Linked DNA regions of Rhinolophus ferrumequinum. The protein of the gene in region 1 purifies or fractionates together with the protein of each later gene. This does not show direct contact. Links are inferred from orthologs where the notes say so. Each region holds a gene or a part of one and is shown on either strand. Other genes may lie near its edges.

Region 1 (9,955 bases):
GCACAGGCCTAGAGGTGACCAATAAAGTATTAGGGACAAATATGAATCTGTTGGTGTGTTCTGTTCTGATGTTCCCCCCCTTCCCCTTTCCTCGAGGCTCTGGCCTTGGGAAACTAACACTGTAGTTACTTATCTTCACCACAAGGTGACAGTCTTACCTCATGCTCACTCCTTGGCCTCAGAGCAGTTGTGTGGGGGGGTGACTTTTGCCCCCTGCTGGGAACAAATCCCACAATACCCTAAAGGAACCTGGCCTTGGAGGGCAGTGCCCATCCCTTGCCATCAGCCATGCTTGGTTCAAATACCATTTAAGAACTGTGATCCTTCTTGGCTTTCATCATCAGGAAAATGGGAATAAAAACAACCAACCCAGATCACCATGCACATTAAGAGAGCAAGTGTGTGAAGGTCAGGGCCCAGTGAATGGTTACTACGATGGTTCCTGGGCCTGGAAGAAGAGTCCAGTCTTATGGGAAAGAGGGTGGGGACCCAGTTGTGAGAGCAGAACCAAGAGTGGGAGCTTAAGCTATACGCACAGTAGGCAAGCTCTGCCCCACCACAAGTTGGAAAGGTGATGGTTAGGCTGGGAGGCAGGTGTCAGGAGCAAGGTAGTATTTCCAGGAGTGTAGTCTGATGCTGTGTGTGGCCAGGCAAGTGGCTTCGCCACTCAGACCTCATTTCCTTCCACAGAATAGGACATGTTCATTTAATACATAGAACCATTATTAATATTGTTATCCAGCCTAATACCCTCCAAGGTCACTCATCTCAGCTTTGGAATATTATCTACACTCCTCCCCAAGTCCCTGCGTGTGGTCTTCCCATATTTAATCTCCATGCTCCTGGTTTACTCCATTCCAGACACATTAGCTTCTTACTGTTCTTTAACAGGCTGATCTTGTTCTGGCCACAGGAACTTTGCATGTGGTATTCTCTGCCCAGAACGCTGTTACGCAGGATTTTCTCAGAACCTGGCTTCTTCAAATCTGGTCTCATTAAAGGTCCACCTTCCCAATCCATTCTCCAAAGCCGCTCATCTCCCCTGCCTCATCACTACCACTTTGACTTGTGTTTTCTCTTCCTAGAACTTACACCATTTCCAAATCGTTTCCTTGTTTATTATCTGTCTCCTGTGGTCCAGACTGTGTCTCCAGGGCCGTGTTGTTCAGAAGTTTATAAATGAATTAATGAAGTGTCTGTTCTGCCTACCCCACCCCTTTGGCCTGGTTTCTCCGCCTGTTTTTCTCGGCTGTTATGGGGGCTTCCAGCTCCGAGGCCAGCTTGACCCTTTTGACCAGCTGCCCTCCTACCCATCCCAGCTGCGGGGGAGGGAGCCCCGAGCGAGGGCGGCGGCTGCGCCGGGCGGCCTGAGCAGCCGCCCCGGCAGGACCAGACCTGGCAGTCACCCCGCTCCCTGCCTGGCACCGTGAAGGAAACTGGCAGACGGGCACCGCCCTTCCTGGCGGTGGTGAGGGGGACCGCGGCAGCAAGGACATGCGGACTACAGCAACCCCCCGCCCGGGTCAGGTCAGACAGCGTGGGTGCGGCGGGGCCTGGGCGCCAGCCAGAAAAGGGAGGGTCTGGGGTGGCTCCCGGGACCCAAGAGCGCGGCCCGCCCACCGTGGACGCTCTGGACTCAGGCCTGGGGCTTTCCGGGCCCAAGCAGCCACCCGCCTGGGAAAATCCCGGCCTCCTTCCGGGCGCCGCGGCCTTGCCGGGCAGAGCGGGGGAGGGGATTCCCGGAATCTGCCCGGAGACCGCCGTCGCGTCACTGGGCAGAATCGGCCCATATATGGGCAGCGCTTCCGCTGCGTCAGCGGGGAAAGCCCCGGCCCGAGCCAGTGGACGGGGCTGCGCCTGCGCACTGCACATCTCGCCCCAGGCATCCTGCTCCCAGGTCCTGGGAGGCTGGGCCCGGTCCGCGCCCTGGACTTTCCAGCCCCCGGGATCAGGGTACGCGAGGAGGGTTGGACACCCGGGCTGGAGCTGCGAAATGCCTGGGCAGAGCTGGCGAAGGGACACAAATACCGGAGCGAGCCACAAACAGCAGTGGGGTGTGGGCAGCTCAACACTCTCCTCCCTCCGCCCGCCCGGCTTCGAAAAAAAAGACAACAGAAATTAATAAAGAACCTTTTTTTTTTTACTTAAATAGATTCAATAAAAAGTCAGAACAAACGCACACACACACACACAAACACATTTTAAAATAAACTTTTTAGAGACTGAGTGCGTGTTTCTTCTCCACAGTACGGTGCAGGGGGGGAGGGCAGGGGGCGGGGCCCCTCCCTTGAGTCCTCGCAGCCTTGAGTACCGGGCGGCGGGGCCAGCTCCGCCGCGATCGCCCCCTCCTCCCCACCCTGTTAAATACACAAATATATTATATTCAATATGAATCGAGTCTGTTTCCAGCAGAAAAAAAAATACAAAAAAACGCGGAAGGGGGGCTTGTAAACGTCGAGGTGGAAGGACTGGGCGCAGAGCCGGCGGGCAGGAGTCCAGTGTGGTTTTCGCCGCCCCCATACCCCGGGGCAAGTGCCCACCGCCTGCCCCCTTGCCCCTTGGGAGGCGTGCGCCCAGCCGTCCAGGCTGGGGGAATGTCCGTACGGGGAAGGGGTGCTCAGAAGGCGTGTCCCTTGACCCCGAGCAGCAGCTGGCAGCCGTTGCTGACATGGGTCATGACCTTCTGTTTGAGCTGAGCCACCTGCTCCCGGAGGAGGCCGGCAGTGCTGGAGAGCCCTGCGTTCTCCGCCTTGAGTGTCTTCACCTTGTCCTCTAGGCGCGCGATGCGCTCCAGCTTCCGCTTCCGGCACTTGGTGGCCGCCAGCCGGTTCCGCAGCCGCTTGCGCTCCACTTTGATGCGCTCCTGGTCTTCCATGTTGATGGGGGACACTGGCGGCGTGGCGTCGCGGCTGCGCGCCTCAGGCACGGTCTGAGGTTCCTCTTTGAAGGTGGAGGCGCCTCGGCCAAGGCCCAGCTGTGCCGGGTGGCCGCCAGCGAAGGGCGGCGCGTGTGGGAGGTAGCTGATGGTGGCCGTCGGGTATGAGCTCCCGGTCCCGACGGCGGCCCCGGCGCCTCCGGAGGGCGCAGAGGCTGGGGAATAGCTGCTGAGGTTGGTGTAGACAGGAGGCGGCTCCGGGCCCGCGTAGACACCCCCAGGCCCCGCCGGGGGGCCCCCGCTGGCGCCCAGCGACACATTGGGGGGTGTCACGTGGTTCATCTTGTGCAGGTCGTCCAGGGCTTTGACAAAGCCGTCGGCGAAGCCCTCCTGTTCCTCGGTGACGCCGCCCCCCGCTCCCCCCGCACCTCCACCGCTGCCACCCCCTCGGGGGTAAAAGTACTGTCCCGGGGGCGTGGGCGTCGTCGTGATCACGCCGTTGCTGTTAGGGACGATCAGGCGCTCTAGCTCCGATGAGGCGAGCTTGAGCGACGCGCCTGTGTCCGAGCCCTGGCCGGAAAAGTAGCTGCCACCACCGCTGCCCTCTGGGCCGGGGCCCCGCGCCCCAGGCGCTTTCAGACTTCGGTAGGGGTCGGCAAGGTTGAGCGCCAGGCTGGGTTTCAGGAGTTTGTAGTCGTGTAGAGAGAGGCCGCCCGGGGCCCGGCCGTATCCCGCCGCTGCGTATGAGTCGTCGTGGTAGAAGGGCTGTTCCATTTTAGTGCACATCCGGGCGGCCCGGGCGGTCTGGGGGGGTCCCTGCGGGGCCGCCCCGGGCCTCGCTGCTGCGAGCGGTGCTCTGTCCGCGGCGGTGGCTGGACTGACTGTCTGGACGCGCGGCCCTGGGTGCCGGCACCCGCCGGGAGAGGCCACCCGGCCGCCTTGCGCGGAAGCTCTGTGCGGCTTCTCCAGCCCCTCTGCCCCTCTCTGGCGCGCTCGCTTTCTCCGTGTCGCTTACCCCTGCTCCCCGTTCCCTGCTGCTCAGACGCTGGTCTGCCGCGCTCAAGGTACCGGCCGCTCAGCCAGAGCCACACGCTTTTATACCACGACTATCAGCTGCGGAAGTGAGCTCCGATTGGCCGTCGCGCGAGCCGGGCCCCCGCGCCCCCCTCCTCGAGCGTGGGGAAGGGGAGGAGGCGGCTCGCGTCACTGTCAGGAAGCGCGTGTCCTTGTAAACAGCGGCCACGGGCTGGGTGGCTTGGCTATGCTGTAGGGGGAGGGGCTCAGGGGACCCCGGGACGCGCGAGGAAGGGGGTGCTGGGGCGGTCCGAGGCACCCGAGGAGGGGCTCCAGGGTGGATGATGATACCCCTGAAGTACGCGATGAGGGACATGAGGAACTGATACAGAGCAAGTGTGTGTGTGTGTGTTTGGGGAGGGGGGGTGTCCCAGGTTGTACATAGAAGGACCTGAAGGACCCGGAGTATCCAAAAGGAGTTGGAAAGCTGAGAATACGCTAGGAGACCCCATAAAAGAGAGACGGAAGGGTTAAGCAGGGGAAGGGGTAAAGAGAGGCCTGACACAGGAATTGTGTGGGGGTCCCAAGTACCAGGGGTTGAGGGACTGGGATTTTCATGGGAGCGACTGAATCCAGGAAAATTGGGGAGGAGGAGAAATGAAAAGGGTACACTGGGAGAGGCTTGAGGACCCATTATGCAAGAAATGAGTAGGGGTCCTGGAGTCCATGGGAGAGACAGAGGGTCCCCCACAAATGGGAAGGGGGGACACTAGGGGAATCTAGATATGCAGAAAGTGAGTGAGGGTCCTGGGGTACACTGACTCAGAGAAAATATGTGGGGTAGAAAAGGGGGTCACTGGAGACATCTGCAAAGCCCTGATGAAGTAGAATTAGGGTCAGAGCACACTTTCAGAGCTGAGATGCCAATGACAGAGGGTCCCCGGTTGAGACATGAGGAAAGGCGGGGTCTTTGAGGATCCTGGGGACTTGGGCTGCTGGATCTTCCATGATTGGAGCCCCCTCTTTTGGGTGACCTTCCTGCTGAGGTCTTTGTATACTCTGTCCCCATCCCAAAGCCTTTCCCCAGTGACCGTGGGCTTGACCGACACCGAGTCGGCTCCTGGTGCTTGGACCCAGCCCGCCGGCCTGGGCGCGGTCACCCAACCCCACTCCTTCCTTAGAAAAGGCCTGGGAAGAGCTTCGCGGCAGGAAATGTGGCAACAGCCCTGGGGAACGGAGCCCAGCCCGGCCTCCGTCACTCGGATCCTACTGGACCGTGCGCCCCGCCCTGGGTCCGGCGGGGTTCTGCGCCTCGGATGAGGAACCTGGGAGCGCGACCACTGCTGAGGCCTGGGTGCGCCGAACACGCCCAGCTGCAGAGGCCTCCAGTCACTGTTCCCCCCGCCCAGCAATGTGGTTCAGCCCGTGGCGCCCGCAATCTCGGAGGCAGACAGTTCGGGGACTATTCCATTGGCCCGACAGAGGGGGACGCACCCAAGAGCGGGCCTGGTCGCTATGGCAACAGGCCAGAGTCCGTGCGCTGGCTGGGGGCGGGGCGATCCCCGGGAGTCTCTCCCTGACGCCCATATAAGGGCACAGGAAGGGGTGGGGCCAGCGCTGTCCCGGGGACCCGAGCCAGGAGCCGGGAGCCCTGGTATCTGCCAGGTCCCAGGGCGCGCCGGGGCCCCCGGACGGCTAGTCCCGACCAGCCTCGGCCGCCGCCTCCGGGCCCCCACGGCCGCCTGGCCCAGCCCCACCCAGTCGCTCTGGGGCGGCGTCCTGCTAGGCCTGGCCCGACCCAGCCCGGCAGGTCCCCGCCTGTCCGCGGGCCTGGGTCGGACTTCGCCCCCGGCCCGACGGGGCGCGGAGAAGGCGGGTCAGTGCCTCCAGGCGCCCCCGGCGCCTGGGCGGGCTGGCAAGGCTTGCCTCCTCCCTCGGGCGGGTACCTTCCTTTTTGCCAGATGTGGGACTCCTCCCCACAAACACCCTTAGGGGCTGGGATGCCCCCTCCTTCACTCATGTGAGCAAGCGCCCCTACTCTTGTTTTGTTTGGGGGTTCCGTCAACCATCCAGAATACCTGGGAGGGGTTCCCTTCCTCCACAGGATATCTCTTTTATCTGAGGGCTCCCCTTCCCTCCAGTCAGAAGAGACCTGAGAATCCAAGGGAAGAATCTGGGGAAACCCAGAGCCCCTTCCCCAGTTAAGGACTGAGTGGGTGTTTAGATGGTGAGGTTTCTAGTTAGACTTAAGGTGGGACTTCCAAGCAGTTAGGATGTGAGCCACTAGAACAAGAGGTGAGAAGCTCAGTCTCTCTCTCTCTCTGAGAGGCCTGTATCTTCTGGAATGATGGAAGTTTCTTTAGGGTAGAGGCTGAGGATGGAGCTAGCCAGTTTTTGTACAACAGGCACAGAGCTCACCAATGGTGGGGGAGAGAAGGAAAACGAAAGAGGTGAAAGAGAAACTGAGCTGTGTGGGGGTAGGGGGAAGTCCAGTAGAGCAGTGGTGCTTGGGAGGAAGGTCCCATGAGAAGCTGGGGGTGTCCCTTGTCTTTGGTCTTTGGAGGTCCTTGTGACCCCTGGTTGCCCCCTTCCCTCCTCCCCTTGTTTGAACTGCTCCCCTACCCCGCCCCAGGCTCAAGGGAGATTCCGGCGGCCCGCTGAGTCTGGCCGGCAGGCTGCCAAGGCCTATGTCTCCCGCCCATGCTAATAACTGCAGCTGACATCTGGCCTGGGCCCTGCGGGGGTGCAGTAGGCAAGGTTGGGGGGCTGGGCAGGTCTGGCCAGAGGGCAGCATCTCACGAAGCCAACCTGCAGGTCTCACAGGCCAGGAGGCCACAGTGAGTCAGCCCTGGCCAGTGCTGAGGCAGGCCAGGCCAGGGGAGTCTTGGAAAGAGGTGAGGCCAGCCCAGAGAGGATCCAGATGGAGGGCAAGGACTCAGCAAGGAAAAGTGGGTGTATGAAGGCAGGGGTCAGGGCAGGGAGAGATGGCCAGAGAGACAAACCCGGGGCAAGGTTAACGTCATGCAGACAGACAGCAAGATTCAGACACTTAAGATAGGCAGACAGACTGAGAAATAGTAATTATTATTTTAATAGCTAACACTTACATGGCTCTTATCATGGGCCAGGCACTCTTCTAAGTGGTTTACGTAGAATAACTCATTGCCTGCTTCCAACCACCCAGAGAAATGCATGCTATGTACCCCCATTTAACAGACAAGAAAACTGAGGCACAGGAAGGTAAAGAACTTGCCTGATGGCCCACAGCTATAAGTGCTGGAGTCGAGATATAACCCTAGCTGTCTGGATCCAGAGCATTAGCCACTACACTGTGAATAATCACAAGCAGAGAGGCTTTTATGCAGTACCAACTGGATGCCAAGCTCTGTAGACCCTTTCATGAAGGGTCTCCTTTAATCTGGAGAGCAATGGAGTTGGGCACAGGATGGAGAGATGCTGGTGGGTGGGGAGACAGCCCAGCATGTTGGAGTGGGGTCGGGTGGCTCCATGTACTCTGCATGGGTGTTTGAACAGGGGGTGGGGATCAGGCCAGCGAGGGAGGGCGGGGGCCCAGCTGAGCTGGTACAGCCGGTTCCAGGCCCCTGCCAGTCTCACCCTTGTGGCCTGGGCACCACCCCCTCACGCCGCCCCACTGGCGCCAAGGGCCCTGTGAAGAGGGTGTGAGGATAGCCCCCTCCCCCGCCTGGCCTGGGTGCCCAGATTGTCAGCTGGGGACTGCCCAGCCCCTGGGCTCCAGACCAGCATCTGTAGGAGGACTCTGTGCCCAGGCTTCCCCCACATCCAGGGGCCCAGGGCATGGGGTGGGGGGACAGGATAAGGGGGAAGTTCACCCACCCCCACCCACGGGTCTCTCTGGGGCTTTTGGTCCTGACATGAGGGACTTCTCCTTCTTATAAATAGCCTGGTGACCCCCCTCCCCCGGCCCCACTGACCAGTGGAGCCCTCACCAGGAAACTGGGCTGGGGGCTGTGTGTGAGTCAGCTGGTGGGCAGGACAGGGCGAGAACCCACAAGTCACAGCACCCAACATCCCGCGTCCCTGCCCCTGGGTGTGGACAGGCAGCTGGGCAGGAAGAGGCTGAGAATCAGAGAGGCCCTCCCCCAGGAACCCTTGGCCTGCCAGCTACCTCCCTCCCCCACCTCTGTGGTTTGGGGGTCCCTCACCCCTCTGCTGGAGAGGAAGCTGCTGGGTTTTCTTGGAAGCAGGAAGGAGAGGCTGTCTCCTCAGGCTGACTCAGCTGGGCATGAGGGGAGTTTCCCACAAAACTGTTTCTGTCCCCCACACACACTGCTGGTGAGGTCTTGGGGGGCCTGAGTCGACTGAGATTCTGTGTGCCCCCTTTACAGGGGATGTGCTGAGAAAACAGGCCCACAGCCCACCCGGGACTGAGGCAGCTGACTTGGGCCTATGGGAAATGACAAACAGTAGGGAGGGCAGAAAGTGGGGGGCAATGTTTGGAGAAAGTAAGTGCTGGGATCTCTGAAGGGGATAGAGACAGGCTGGGAAGCCTAGAGCCCCACAGAACCTCAGCAGGGTCCAGGAGTGCGTGTGTCTGGTCGGCTGTGGATCTGTGTGTGGCTGGCTTGTCAGGGCGTGTGAGAGTATGTGAGGCCTGTCTCCCCAGTACATTTGTCTGTGTGTTCGCCTAACCCTGCAGGGGTGTATAGGGTCTGTCTGTTGTGTGTGTGTGTGTGTGTGTGTGTGTGTGTGTGTGTGTGTGTGTGTGTGTGTGTTGGGGGAGTGAGGTGTGTGTATGGTCTATGGAATAGGTTGCATGTAGCTGGTCTATATATGCATGTGTTGTTTTGGAATTCATATGGCTAACCTATTCATGTCTGGGGTGTATGTGTGTGTGTGTGAGGTCCATGGCTTGCCTGTGTGAGGTCTGTGTGTGTGTGAGCTCTGTGGCTGGTGTGTGTGCATGTGTGTGTGTCAGGTATCTCTGTGCCATTGTTTATGAATGTCTGGCTATGGCCTGTCTGTGGTTGGTGTGTGTGTGTGTGTGTGTGTGTGTGCAGATGCCAGGGTGTCTCTGTGCCAATGTGTTTAGGAATGCACTACTGTGGCCTGTCCATGCTTCTCTGTACTGGATGTGACTGTCTGTTCATAGCATGTATGAATGTCAGTTTGTCTGCTTGCATGTGTCCATCTGTCGGTGAATCTGACATGTGAGTGTTACCAGTGTGGTAGCGTGTATCTGTTAAGTCTTGGTGTCCCTTGAAGCCTTTTGAGTGTGTGCAACTGTGTGGGGAGCAGGGGAGGGGCCTTTTTTGTCATGGTGTGTACATGTCCTCTCCGTCCATTTCATCACGTTTGTTTTTCTCTTTTGCCTCTGAGTGTCTTTCCAAGTTGGTGATCTTGCTAGTGTGTGTGTGTGTGTGTGTGTGTGTGTGCGTGCTCATGTGTTGCTTTCTCGTGTGTCAGGATCTGACAGTGTGTGTCTGAACATGTCTTATGAAGCTCTTGAGGTGCTTGTGCTGAAAGTGACTGTCCTTTCTCTGAATCTGTCAACTTGCATGCATTGTCACTCGTATCTAACCCACAATCATCTCTGTATCTGTGTGTTTCTGGCCTGTCACATTTGTCTCAGAGTGCATGTAACCATGCTACTTGGTGAGCCAGGCTCTGTGCTCACCTGAATGTCTCTCTGTGCTTGTGTTTGGCAGTGTGTCTATCTTGTCTGTATGCCCAGTTGATTTATCTGTGTCACACACACCCTGCCTGCATACTTCTGGCCTGTTGATGGCTTGGGTGTTTGGCAGAATTTCGATCTTGTTCCTGAGTCTGTCCTGTCACTGACTATGTCTGTGTGACAGCCATTGCTGGGTTTTTTGCCCAGTGTGTGTCTGACCCTGTCAGTGTGTCCCAAGTTGGCAGTCTCACTGTGGCAGGGTGACAGGGGTTTGTGTGTCTGGACTGGCTCTCTCAGGGTGACTGTGTATGTGTATACTCCTTGCCACCCCCCCAAGTCTGGCCACCCTGGGCCATGTTTACTCTGCCCCCAGCTGACTTCTGCCCTGCCCCGGGAGGGGCTGACCCTCCCAT
Region 2 (10,876 bases), on another chromosome or scaffold:
GGATGTGAAATCAAGACTGTCCTGGCCAGGCAGCTCTGATACAAATGGAGTAGTGGAGTTTCAGAACCTTAGACAGGCCCCCCGCCTGGATTTACCCCACTGGAGAGTGTGCTTAGGGCAGAAGCACCAAATGACATCCACTGGGAACGCACACATTTTCTTTCCTGACATCATCCTCAGACGTTTGGGGTGGGACCACAGATCCTGCCTCTCTTTTAACAACCATTTTGAATTGGTTAGTCATGAATGTACTGGTTTATATTTACTGTTTGAAGTAAGCCTAACACTACTATTTTAATGGGTGGAGAGAGGAGAGATCAGTCAATCCAGGCAGTCCACAAAAAGCAAACCTGGGCCTCTCAGTGGAGGGCAGGTTAGGGTTTTCAGGGTGTGTCTTTCCCTGGGGGGGCACCCCTTTTCTCCATGATGCAAACGTTGACCATTCAAAGGTCACGTGCTCAAGGAATGAGATTTGATAAAATTAAATTTTACAGCTTCATCAAAGACATTCTCAAGTGAACAGGAGTATTTTTGTGTGTGATTAAGCTTGGTAGCTTAACAGTAATTACCAATTTATATATAAGAGCTCTCATAATTAGTTCATGATTTTTCCTTTGTATATATTTTTTCAAAACGTTATTGACCACTCACAATGTGAGTGACTCCTTGCTAGAAGCTGTAAGAAAGTTTATAAGATGAGAAGGGATGCTTGAGGAGGGAAGCAACATGGGAACCAGAACGAAAGGAAGGCGTTAACTTAGGGATGGAGGAAGCGGGGAAAGTAGACAGAGGCCGAAAGTAGGAATGGAAAGAACAAGAGAGCAGAGAGAGGATTTTGGAAAACGCTATAGCTGTACTTGTAAGCCCTTATCAAAATTTAGAAATATGTCCTAGCATATAGCCTGTTTCTCTGAAAATAAGACCTAGCCGGACAATCAGCTCTAGTGCATCTTTTGGAGCAAAAGTTAATATAAGACTAACTTATGTTAACTTTTATTATAAAAGTATTATTATATAAGTATTATTATATTATATTATATTATATTATATTATATTATATTATATTATATTATATTATATTATATTATATAACACCTGGTCTTATATTATAGTAAAATAAGACTGGGTCTTATATTAATTTTTGCTCCAAAAGACGCATTAGAGCTGATTGTCCGGGTGGGTCTTATTTTCGGGGAAACACGGTAAAATCAAGTGGATGTTTTTCCCATGGAAAAGAAAAGTGGCAGGATTAATTTTTCATGACTTCTTCTTTCTTTTATTCCTTTCAACACATATCAAGAATGGAACTTTTGTTTTTTAACGATTAATCCAATCCAACTCATTTATCCTTCACCTGCCTTCGTAATGCCCAGACACAGAGTTGACTTAATTGTCATTGTACCTGCTGTGATCCTTGCAGTTCAAGAAGCAGCAGGTGAAATTGAGCAGGACAGGTCTCCTGATTCACCTCCAACATATAAACAAATTGAAATGACTGCGATGCTTTTGAATGAGCCTTTTCTCAAGGAGTTTTCATCCAGTTTTAGTAGTTAGTTCCCGAGGATAAGAGCAGTGATTTTTTTTCCTTATTAGAGCTAGTACTTTCAGTAGATGTGTGTCGGAGCACAGCCCCACTTGCTAAGCGCCCCCATCCAGCCCTGGGAAGGGGGAACTAAAGACAGGAAGACCAACTAAACAGAAGAGCGGAGTTCTGGTATTCAAAGCTCTTATCTCATTCAAAGCTCTTATCTCATTTGTTAATTCTGCAAATATTTACTGAGCACTTACTATTGGCCGAGTCTCCCGGTTAGTCACTAGGGGTAGAGTGGTAGGCAGACACTGTCCCTGCCTTCGCAGGCCTACCTTCCTGTGAGGTAGGCAGAGCAGGTGTTATTCATATTGCCAGTACGAGATAAGGAAATGGAGGTGAGGGAAAGACACAGCTCTGGAACAAGACTGGAGCCCCTCTCTGTTCTCCTGAGGTGTAAATACTTGGCTCACTGTGCTCAGTGGCTCTCAAACTTTTCTTACTAATTCCACAAAGGAACGTTAACAATGGACCACATGGGCTTCTGTTCCCCACCTTGGAAATCATTTGTTTCTGTCCTTGCCTTTGAAGAAACAGCACATTTCTTCACACAACGTTAGACTATTGTTGTAATTATTAATACTGATCAAACCTCAGCTTTAAAAAAGTAATTTGCTGAAGTCTTTAAATCCATCTTTCCCTAGGGTTGGGTAAATGAAAACAAAACTATAAAAAAAAAGTCTTTCTTTTATAAAACGATCGGACATCCAGGTATTCAGATAAGCATACTACATCTGGATCTCTCCTCAGGGAACTCTGAGATCACCTGCCTTTCCTGTCTGAATCTTTTTCAAAAGAGAGCCCAGAGAGAAAGGGTGTTTTTCCTAGGAGAATTTTTCACTCATTTCAGCTGTTAGCAGCTGCTCTGTTTCTCCAGTGTGCTGAAATGCCCGCTGCTTTGTAAACATTCTCTCTAATACCGGCATTACTCATAGTTTGAAAATCACTTTGACTCCTGAAACATAATGATGTTAATGTCAGATGAGTCAGCAGGTCAGCATGCTGCTCCTATGGCAGCCGTGCCTTCTACCAGCCTCTCCACCCAGTGTCTGGTGCTTCAAAAGTAAAAAAAAAAAAAAAAAAAAATCAAAAACAGAGAAACCCCTTTTTGGTGGAAGGGTACAGACATTTTGTCCATGACTCAAAGAACAGCTTCAAAGGTGTAGTCAATTTCATTCTCAGGGAACATGAAAGGGAAAGGCAAAGTAAAATCCCTAACCCTAGGTTAATCGATTTACGTGAAGAATGAACAAGGAATTTAGCGAGTTTCTGTAGAGGGTCTGTGATTTTCCCGAAGGGATAAGTCGACACTGATCAGTCTGGTATTCAGTATACAGTTGTGATCTGTTATTTCCAGGACTCCTCTGGGAGGTGTTTTCGCGCCCGTGGGAAGTACACAGTGCAGGAATATTACCGTGAACATCCATGGGAAATGGGAGGCTGCTCGTTTACCCAGGATTCCAGACCCTGGCGGGGCTCCCCCACTGCCCTCTTTGCATTGGTGCTGTGCCCATTCAGACAAGAGATTGCAGCCACTCTCCTGGACTGTTTTCAGCATCATTTACAACCTTTCAATTGTCTCCCCTCCCAGAACTGCTGGGAAATGACCAGGAACTGAGCAGGACACAGTTGGAGTATTTCATAGCCTGGCTGACCACAGCCCCCACCTCCTCATGCTCCCAGCCCCGGTCACAGTCTGACCTGCCAATAAGTAACCCTAACTGTCCCCTTCAGCTCACCTTACCCCACCTTCTCTTCCAACCTCAGGGCATCATTTCAATACACTTACATAGTGCCTCCAAAAAGGCTTCCAGGTTCATTGTGTCACCCCTGTCTCATAATAATCCATATTTTGGAAGTGGGAAAACCTTGTGAAGGTCACATTGTGAGTGGCAGAGCCACACACTCAGACCCCAGGTCCTTTCTACTCTGCAACAACACAACATCAAACCCACATTTAGAGGACTAGCATGCCAGTGAAGGTTGGAAGGATTGCAAGTGCACACATACTATTTTCACAGACAAGAGGAGTAACCAAAATCTAAAGAGAGGCAGTGACTTGCCCAAGGTCACATGGCTCGAAATGTGGCACATCCAGTTGCCAAACTAGGTCACCTGACCCCTGGTCCAGGGCTTTTTCTCTCTTAACTTCTCCTTCCTCACTCTGGACTTATTCCAGTTTAGATACGAGTCTGTACTTCCCAGTTGACCCATGCACCTTACAATGCTGATTCAAAGCATTCTACTCCCAAAGCACAAAGCCCCACAGAGATGCCAAAGAGGAGAACCAAATCCAGTGGCTTTCCATTATGATATGAATAATCAATACCCCAAGTTAACTACGGCACCAATCAGTGGTATCGTCAAACTATACCTTCATGCTGGCTAATTTCAAAGACTGAGATAACATCAGTGCCTCAGTGGGGTGCTGATCTGGCCCCATGGTTGTTATGTAACCTGTAAGAGATAAAATGCCTAGTGCAACCCAAAAATTCTGCAGCACCCTAACTCCAGGCCTTTTCAACCCCCCTCCCTCCGTCCACTTCTTTGGGTGCCATAGAGACATCATGTAGCTGGTGCACAGAACTTCTCACTTTCCCAACCCTCTACAGGGCATGGTAGATATTCCCCCAGCTGAAGGCTTCCTGACCAAACATCTTTCTCCCATGACACTTTTCCTGCTTGGCCCCAAAGGCAAAGAAAAGTCAAGACTCACATTTTGAGGGAAGCTGCCGAAAATCCTTAGAAAACTGTGGAACATCCTATTTAGAGGAGACTCTTCCTTTGTCATGTGTTCCCGGCTGATTCTATTGAATTTATCCTGGAGGTATGGTTAGTCAACAAAAACTGACCCCGCCCCTGCCCCCTAAAGCAACCAACAGCTGTTACTATATTGAGTGGCAATATGAAGTCATAGATAGGTGACTAACCCACCAAGGCTTCCCTACGAGCCATCATCTAAATATGACAGCCTTCCATCATCCTGACCTTTTCACAGGAGAAAGCTGAGTGAGGGGCTTGACACTGCCTCCCAGGGCTCAAGTTCATGTTTGACCTTCTGCAGCCACCATCTCTGACTGAGCATTGGAAGACACATGCCCACTGCCACACACAAATTCCCTTTCTAGTAAAAGGTCACTTTACACAAGACAGCTTTTCTCCACTGGCCTGTCTTTGAAATTAGTAACCATCAGAATGTTTAATAATCAGTCATTAGGGAGGAATCAGGGTGGGGGTTTGTATATATTTACCATGCTGTATATCCCAGGTACTGGGTTAGACTCTTTACACATCGTTTTTCATTTAATTCTCAAAACCCTCTGACGAAGGCTTTACAGTCCTGTGGGTTTAGGAGAAACTGAGATCAGAGGCAACTTGCCAGAAGTCACAGAGCTGATCACGATGGGACTCCACTTCAAGTCTCTGTGACTCCACAGTGAACCAAACCTACATGCCGAAAGCTGCAATCACTTCACCTGGATTTTGTTAAAAATAGAATTTAATTTGTAGAGCGGTTATAGGTTCCCAGCAAAATTGAGCGGTAGGTACAGAGATTTCCCATAGAGCCACCTGCCCTCACAAATGCACAGCCTCCCCTACTGTCAACAGCCCCCATCAGAGTGGTACATTTCTTACAATGGATGAACTTTTATTGACACATCATTATCACCCAAAGGCCACAGCTTACATTAGGGTTCACTCTTGGTGTTGTGCATTCTATGGATTTGGACGAATGTATAATAACATGTATCCACCATTATAATCCTCTGTGCTCTGCCTTTTCATCCCTCCCCCAACCCCTTGTAACCACTGCTCTTTTTACTGATCTTGTCTCCATAGTTTTGTCTTTTCCAGACTGTCCTATAGTTGGAATCATACAATATGTAGCCTTTTCAGATTAGTTTTTTTCACTTAGTAATATGCATTTACGAGTAAGTTTCCTCCATATCTTTTCATGGCTTGATAACTCATTTCTTTTTAGTGCTGAATAACATTCCATGGTCTAGATATACTGTGGTTTGTCCTTTCACCTACTGAATCACCTGGATTTTAGAACTTCATTCTAGTGTGGTTTATATTGAAAGCAGAGATGGCCACAGAACCTGGTTATCCTCTTCTGGAGCTCATACCTGCCTCCTCTCTCCTGCCATCTACACAGCACCTGTGACAGGCGGAAGGACACCCCTTTGGCATCCATTGCTTATTTCAGCAGCCTGGGAACCAGCTATTCCTCCAGGATGAGTTCTAGGGCCGATCTATGGAGAGCTCATCCATGCACACCTACCATAAAATCAGGATATTCCCTTTTCCCTCTGTGCCAATATACTCTCATGTTTCCCTCCAGCCCCCAATACAGTTATTCCAAATATGTCTCACCAGCTACCATACAGGTTTCTCTCTCTCTCTCTTTTTAATTCTATCCATCCATCTAGCCAGCAAGTATTTATTGAGCACCTACTATATGTTGGTCCTAGATGTAAGTCCTTAGAGGACACTGAATGTGTTTACATAAGTTTGTATGCAGAGTTACGCCCATCACAACACCTCACTCCATTAATAAATACTTTTGATTGGCAAGGGGTGGCAGCAGTGTGTGTGCTCATGGAGATAAAAAAGACAAACATAGTGAAGGACTGAAAATAAGCCTATGAGACCATCTGAATTATTACTATCATCAAGTTATAATATTATATTTATTATATAACAGTATAATATAATTATTTTATTTTTTGAGAGTAAAGGAAGGATAAGTTTAATCAAGGAAAAGAGAAGAAAGAAGCAGGCTACTCCATAGACAGAGCAGCCTCGCTCCTGCTGGGGTTTGAGCCTATTATTGGTGCCCCTTTAATTAGGGACTTTACATTCAAACTTGTAGGATTATTATTATGATTGTTAGTATATTGTTTTATAATAATATTAATAATATTATTATAAAAAACCCTTATGTAGCACTTTCTGTGTTTTAGGACCTAAGTGCTTTTACATAAATGGTAAATCTACTTGTTGCCTGAAAAGGCTGCATAGGCTGAAATATAAATAAATAAAGTTTCAAATACATTCCTGGAGGGCAGATCTATAACAAGTTATTAAAGTGGAGTTAGGAATAACCAGGGTGCATTCCTAACCAATGAGAATGATGTCATGAAGGCTAAGTGCTCTAATCCAGCCCAAGCCATCTTGGTGGCTCCATCCGAGGCAGGCGCTTAAGTGGGACAGAGCTCAGGCTGACCCAGCGCTGATCTGCGGACCACTGCTCAGCCTCTGAGTTTCCACTATGTTGGAAGCCTGCCCAATGGCTTCTCCCGCATCCTTCCACCTCTGTCAGCAGCTGTGTGTGTATGTCCACCCCTCCCCCCCTGTAAAAGCAAAGCTTTGCTTTGTGTCATCCAGTGAGTCAGTGGCACAGTTGGGAACAGACCCAGGATTCCTGCTCATTTCTTTGCTGGTGTTGTTTGCTGGAGATCATAATCCTTCCACATTACTGGCCAGTTACATTTATGGCTTTTAACGATATTTAATGGGGCTTCTGGGATTAGAAACTGATGGGAAGTAAAGACTGGGAGATAAAAAATCAAAACCTGAAATGACACATAAGATCTGGATTACTGAAGGTTTAAAAATGGCAATCCAACTCATCATGTCATTCCATTGGGAAACGATTCCTGAGGAAAAATAACCACCTCACCTATCTTGAGGCTGAATGGGAGAGAGACGAAAGGGGAAGTAGAAACAGCCAGGGGACCTCAGAAATTGTGTTCCCCAATTCTTCCCAGTGGCTTCATCTCTATATTTACTTCAATTCCCCATTTTTCTTTCCTTCTATGACATGTTACAATTTACCATACACATTTATGCCCACATTCCACCTGAGACTTATAACAGAGGTGTGATCCATGGAAAGAGCAGTGGGCTGCAATGCAGGTGACTGGGGCTTTCTACCTAACAGGCCAAGTGACCCCAGGCAGGTTACCGCACTTGGACCTTACTTAGTCCGTTATTTATAAAACAGGGGCTGGCCTGGTTGGCTTGAAGGTACCATACTGGTTTAAGCTCCCATGTCTGTGTGTCTAGCTCCAGTACAGAGAAAGAAGCCGCTGCCCCCACAGCTAAGGCTGCCTGTGGTTTTCTCCATTTCCTCCCAAGACTGCGGTGGGAGCACATGCAAGGTGTTTGGGGACAGGCTCCAGAAAGCCTGGCAGTACAGGAAGAGCAGTGGGCAGTGACTCCACTAGAGGGGACAGGAGCCAGGGTACACAAAGAAGAGAGCTCGGTGGTGGCTGGAGGCTGGGTACAAGGGAAGAGGGGTCCGTTTTAAATGGCTCCATGAGGTGAGCTGGGGGAGGAAGGTACTCCTGGTAGACCTGGCATGTGTAGCCTGAGGTTGGGGCTGTGACTCTCAGCCAAGGACTAGTAATGATTGTCGGAAGATAACAGGGACCGCACCTCAGCCACTTGGCTCCATTTCTGGTACACAGTCCCCATCATTTTGCTCAAAACTTTGAGAAGCTGTTGTCTCTCATTTGTTTTCGGCAGGACTATGCTATTCCAACCGGAAATTTTCGTTTGCTTTATAGAGAGGGGATAATGATGGAGGAGAAACACTTCTGCACTTGAGTAGAGCGGGCCCCTGATGTGCCAGTGCATACACTTTAATTAAGCAGGGTGGTCGCTCTAGTTTCAAGAGAGGAAACACCGAGTCAAGGGTAAGGCCTGGCATGGCTGGGACTAGGGTGGGGTGAGTGAGGTGCCTGGAGTGCCCACCTTAAAGACTTGTTCTCAGAGTTGGTCAAGTGCAGGAAGTACCTGAGAGTGAGCGTCCTCACTTGCCTTACCCTGAGGCCTGGCACTTCCTTCTCTGGGGGTCTTCTGGCATGGAGTGGGTAACTTGTGCAGCGGCACTGGGCTTGTGTTAAAAGGGAAAAAGCTTGTTCTAGGGGACTCCACATATCGAGAATAAAACGTACATTTCATAGCCCAACTTGATCTCCAAAAACATAGACCTGGAGTCCAACTGATCTGGGAATGACTTCCAGTTTGCCATTCTTTAGCTGTGTAACCTCGGGAAACATACTTCACCTTGCTGTGCCTTGGTTTATGTTCCTCATCAATAAAATGGGGATGGTAATACCAACCTCTGAGCTAGGAGGATTACACGAGGGGCTGTGGGAGGGTAATGAAAATATCTGCCCTATAGTAAACCTCAGTACATTTTTAGTTCCCTGTGAGACTGTGATAATGCTGAATGATCAACTGTTGAACAGGGTTCCTGCCTCTAGAAGCTTCCACGGGCAACATTAGCATAAGAGGAGATGTTTGGACACCAGTTAACAAATTTCACACCCAGAGAGTTAACTAACTTGTTTCAGGTCACACTACTGATGACAGAGTTTGGACACAGTCAAAAACAGTGATAAAAGGGCCAAGCTGGCCCAAGGTGATGGGGATTATATAAATAAACAGTCAAACCACAGCCTTTATGTAGTAGCAGAGGTACAAGCATGAGAGAAGGGGCTGTAAGTGAAGGTGTTGGGAGTCAAGGGCCATGGAAAAACTTTTTGAGGCAGGATCACACTTTGGTTAATCAAGGAGGGCTTCCAGGAAGAGGTTCTGAGGTTTCAGAGAGCCTCCAATGAGGCTCAGTTGCTCTCCTTTTTTCATCATCTCAACAGTCAACACTTGTCAGTAGAAAGGGATATAAGATGGGCTCTGATTCTATGGATAGGTGAGTGGAGTCATCGCTCAGATCTTCCATCAGAAGCCTGGGCCCTTTAAGGCATGTGAACGTTCTAGGATAGCCCGGCGGCCTCCCCCTGGCGCGCTTACGTCATCTTTCAGGGAAGCGGCTGACGTCAGTGCGTCCTCGGCGAGTGGGGGCGGGGCCGTGACTCACCCAGACCGCGCCCCCGGCCCTGCCAGACAAGGGGCACGTGAGCGCGTATCGCGCTGCTTTCTAATTTTAGCTCCGGCGGCTCTGGTGGGGTCAGGCGAGGTAAAGAGGAGCAGAGGGGACTAAGGGGCTGGGGGCGCGGTTCTCTCGGTCCCTTGGTGGCTCTCCGTGCGTCTTCCTGGAGGACGGAGCTCGGCCAGATGGCGGGTCCCGCGGGACTACTGGAGGTGCAGGAGCGGGGGCCTCCCGAGGCGGGGCCCGAAGCGCCCCCTTCGCGTGAGAGCCGGCCCCGAACTTGCCTGCCTCAGAGTAGGCGCTTAAGAAACGGACCAAGCTTCCCTCCTGGACAGCGACTGGGTACTTGTTAGAGAGAGCCAGGGTTCTGGAAGGTTCCCTGGTGGACCAGGAGTGGCGTGAGCTACAGTCAGAACAGGAGCTGGGCTCAGCGAGGGCCCGGCGGACGGAGTGGCCACGTGGAGCCGTCCCCCAACCCGCAGCCTAGCTGGCGTTGCCATCAGAGCGGGTTGGGGGCGTCCGGGACCCCCCATTGAACCGCCAAGTCCGAATTGCGTTTGGCAGTGGGAAGGTGCCGCGTGTGTTGTGAAGGGCGGTGACCGTTCTAGGGTCAAGCCAAGCACAGGGGCCTGAAGGTCACCAGTTGAGGACCCAGCGCTGATGCCACAAAATCCAGGTGATCCGTCCGGAGCCCGGGACATACCAAGGTGACCGGCCAGGAACCGGATAAAAGCCAGACATCCTATGAAATCCACACTCACCCGTTCTTTGCGGGGAGGGAAGGGAGAGAATTCTGGAAAGAAGCTCTGTCAGCGTAAAGTGAACTGCAAGTTGGACTTTGCAGAGTGGGCTGCCCTGTCACAGTGACCTGCATTCTGTTGTTGGTGTGGTATCCTCAGGTTTCACAGGGTTTGTCTCCATGGACAGCTTATAAAACAACATTTGGGGAGGCTTTGACCTTGTTAGATGAAGGGTGTTGGATGTTACAAAAGAGTTAAATATAAAGATAAACTGAGAGAGTGTCAAATGGTAGTATGAGTACGTTTTTTTAATGGTTGGGTTGTTAAAATTTTCTATTTCAAGGCTCTGAAGGCTATAACCTTAAAAGAAAGTAAAAAAAACGAAAAGAAAAAAGAAAAACAAACAAAAAAAACTCCTCCTGTGCCCTTAAAAAGAAATGGTAGAAAGTTGTGGAATAAAGATACTTTGGAGATTATGACATGAGTGAATAACAAATCTGTCAGCCCAAACGTGTAAGTTTTCATTTGTTTTTCAAAAACACCACACTGACCTTTGTAAATTGGAGATTTTTCAGAGATAAATAGGGAAGCTGCAAGTTTTTAGGGCTTTCGTCCTCATTCGGAATCCATCTTAACACAGTTTAA

Evidence for each region. Proteins that work in one complex are often made in the same cells at the same time.
Region 2: the proteins of JUNB (region 1) and ATF3 purify together in Homo sapiens (affinity purification with mass spectrometry; 3 studies listed by BioGRID and IntAct, counting the BioPlex papers as one, with this or other methods). This does not show direct contact. The link is inferred for Rhinolophus ferrumequinum from reciprocal best matches to the Homo sapiens genes JUNB and ATF3.

The regions. Positions count from the first base shown.
Region 1 is NC_046301.1:48,777,842-48,787,796, forward strand, and holds JUNB (transcription factor JunB), read right to left. Parts: upstream 3,957-9,955; 5' UTR 3,662-3,956; coding exon 2,618-3,661; 3' UTR 2,123-2,617; downstream 1-2,122. UniProt on the Homo sapiens protein: Transcription factor involved in regulating gene activity following the primary growth factor response. Binds to the DNA sequence 5'-TGA[GC]TCA-3'.
Region 2 is NC_046305.1:19,764,913-19,775,788, forward strand, and holds the start of ATF3 (cyclic AMP-dependent transcription factor ATF-3), read right to left. Parts: upstream 4,406-10,876; 5' UTR 4,305-4,405; intron 3,980-4,304; exon of another isoform or gene 3,963-3,979; intron 1-3,962.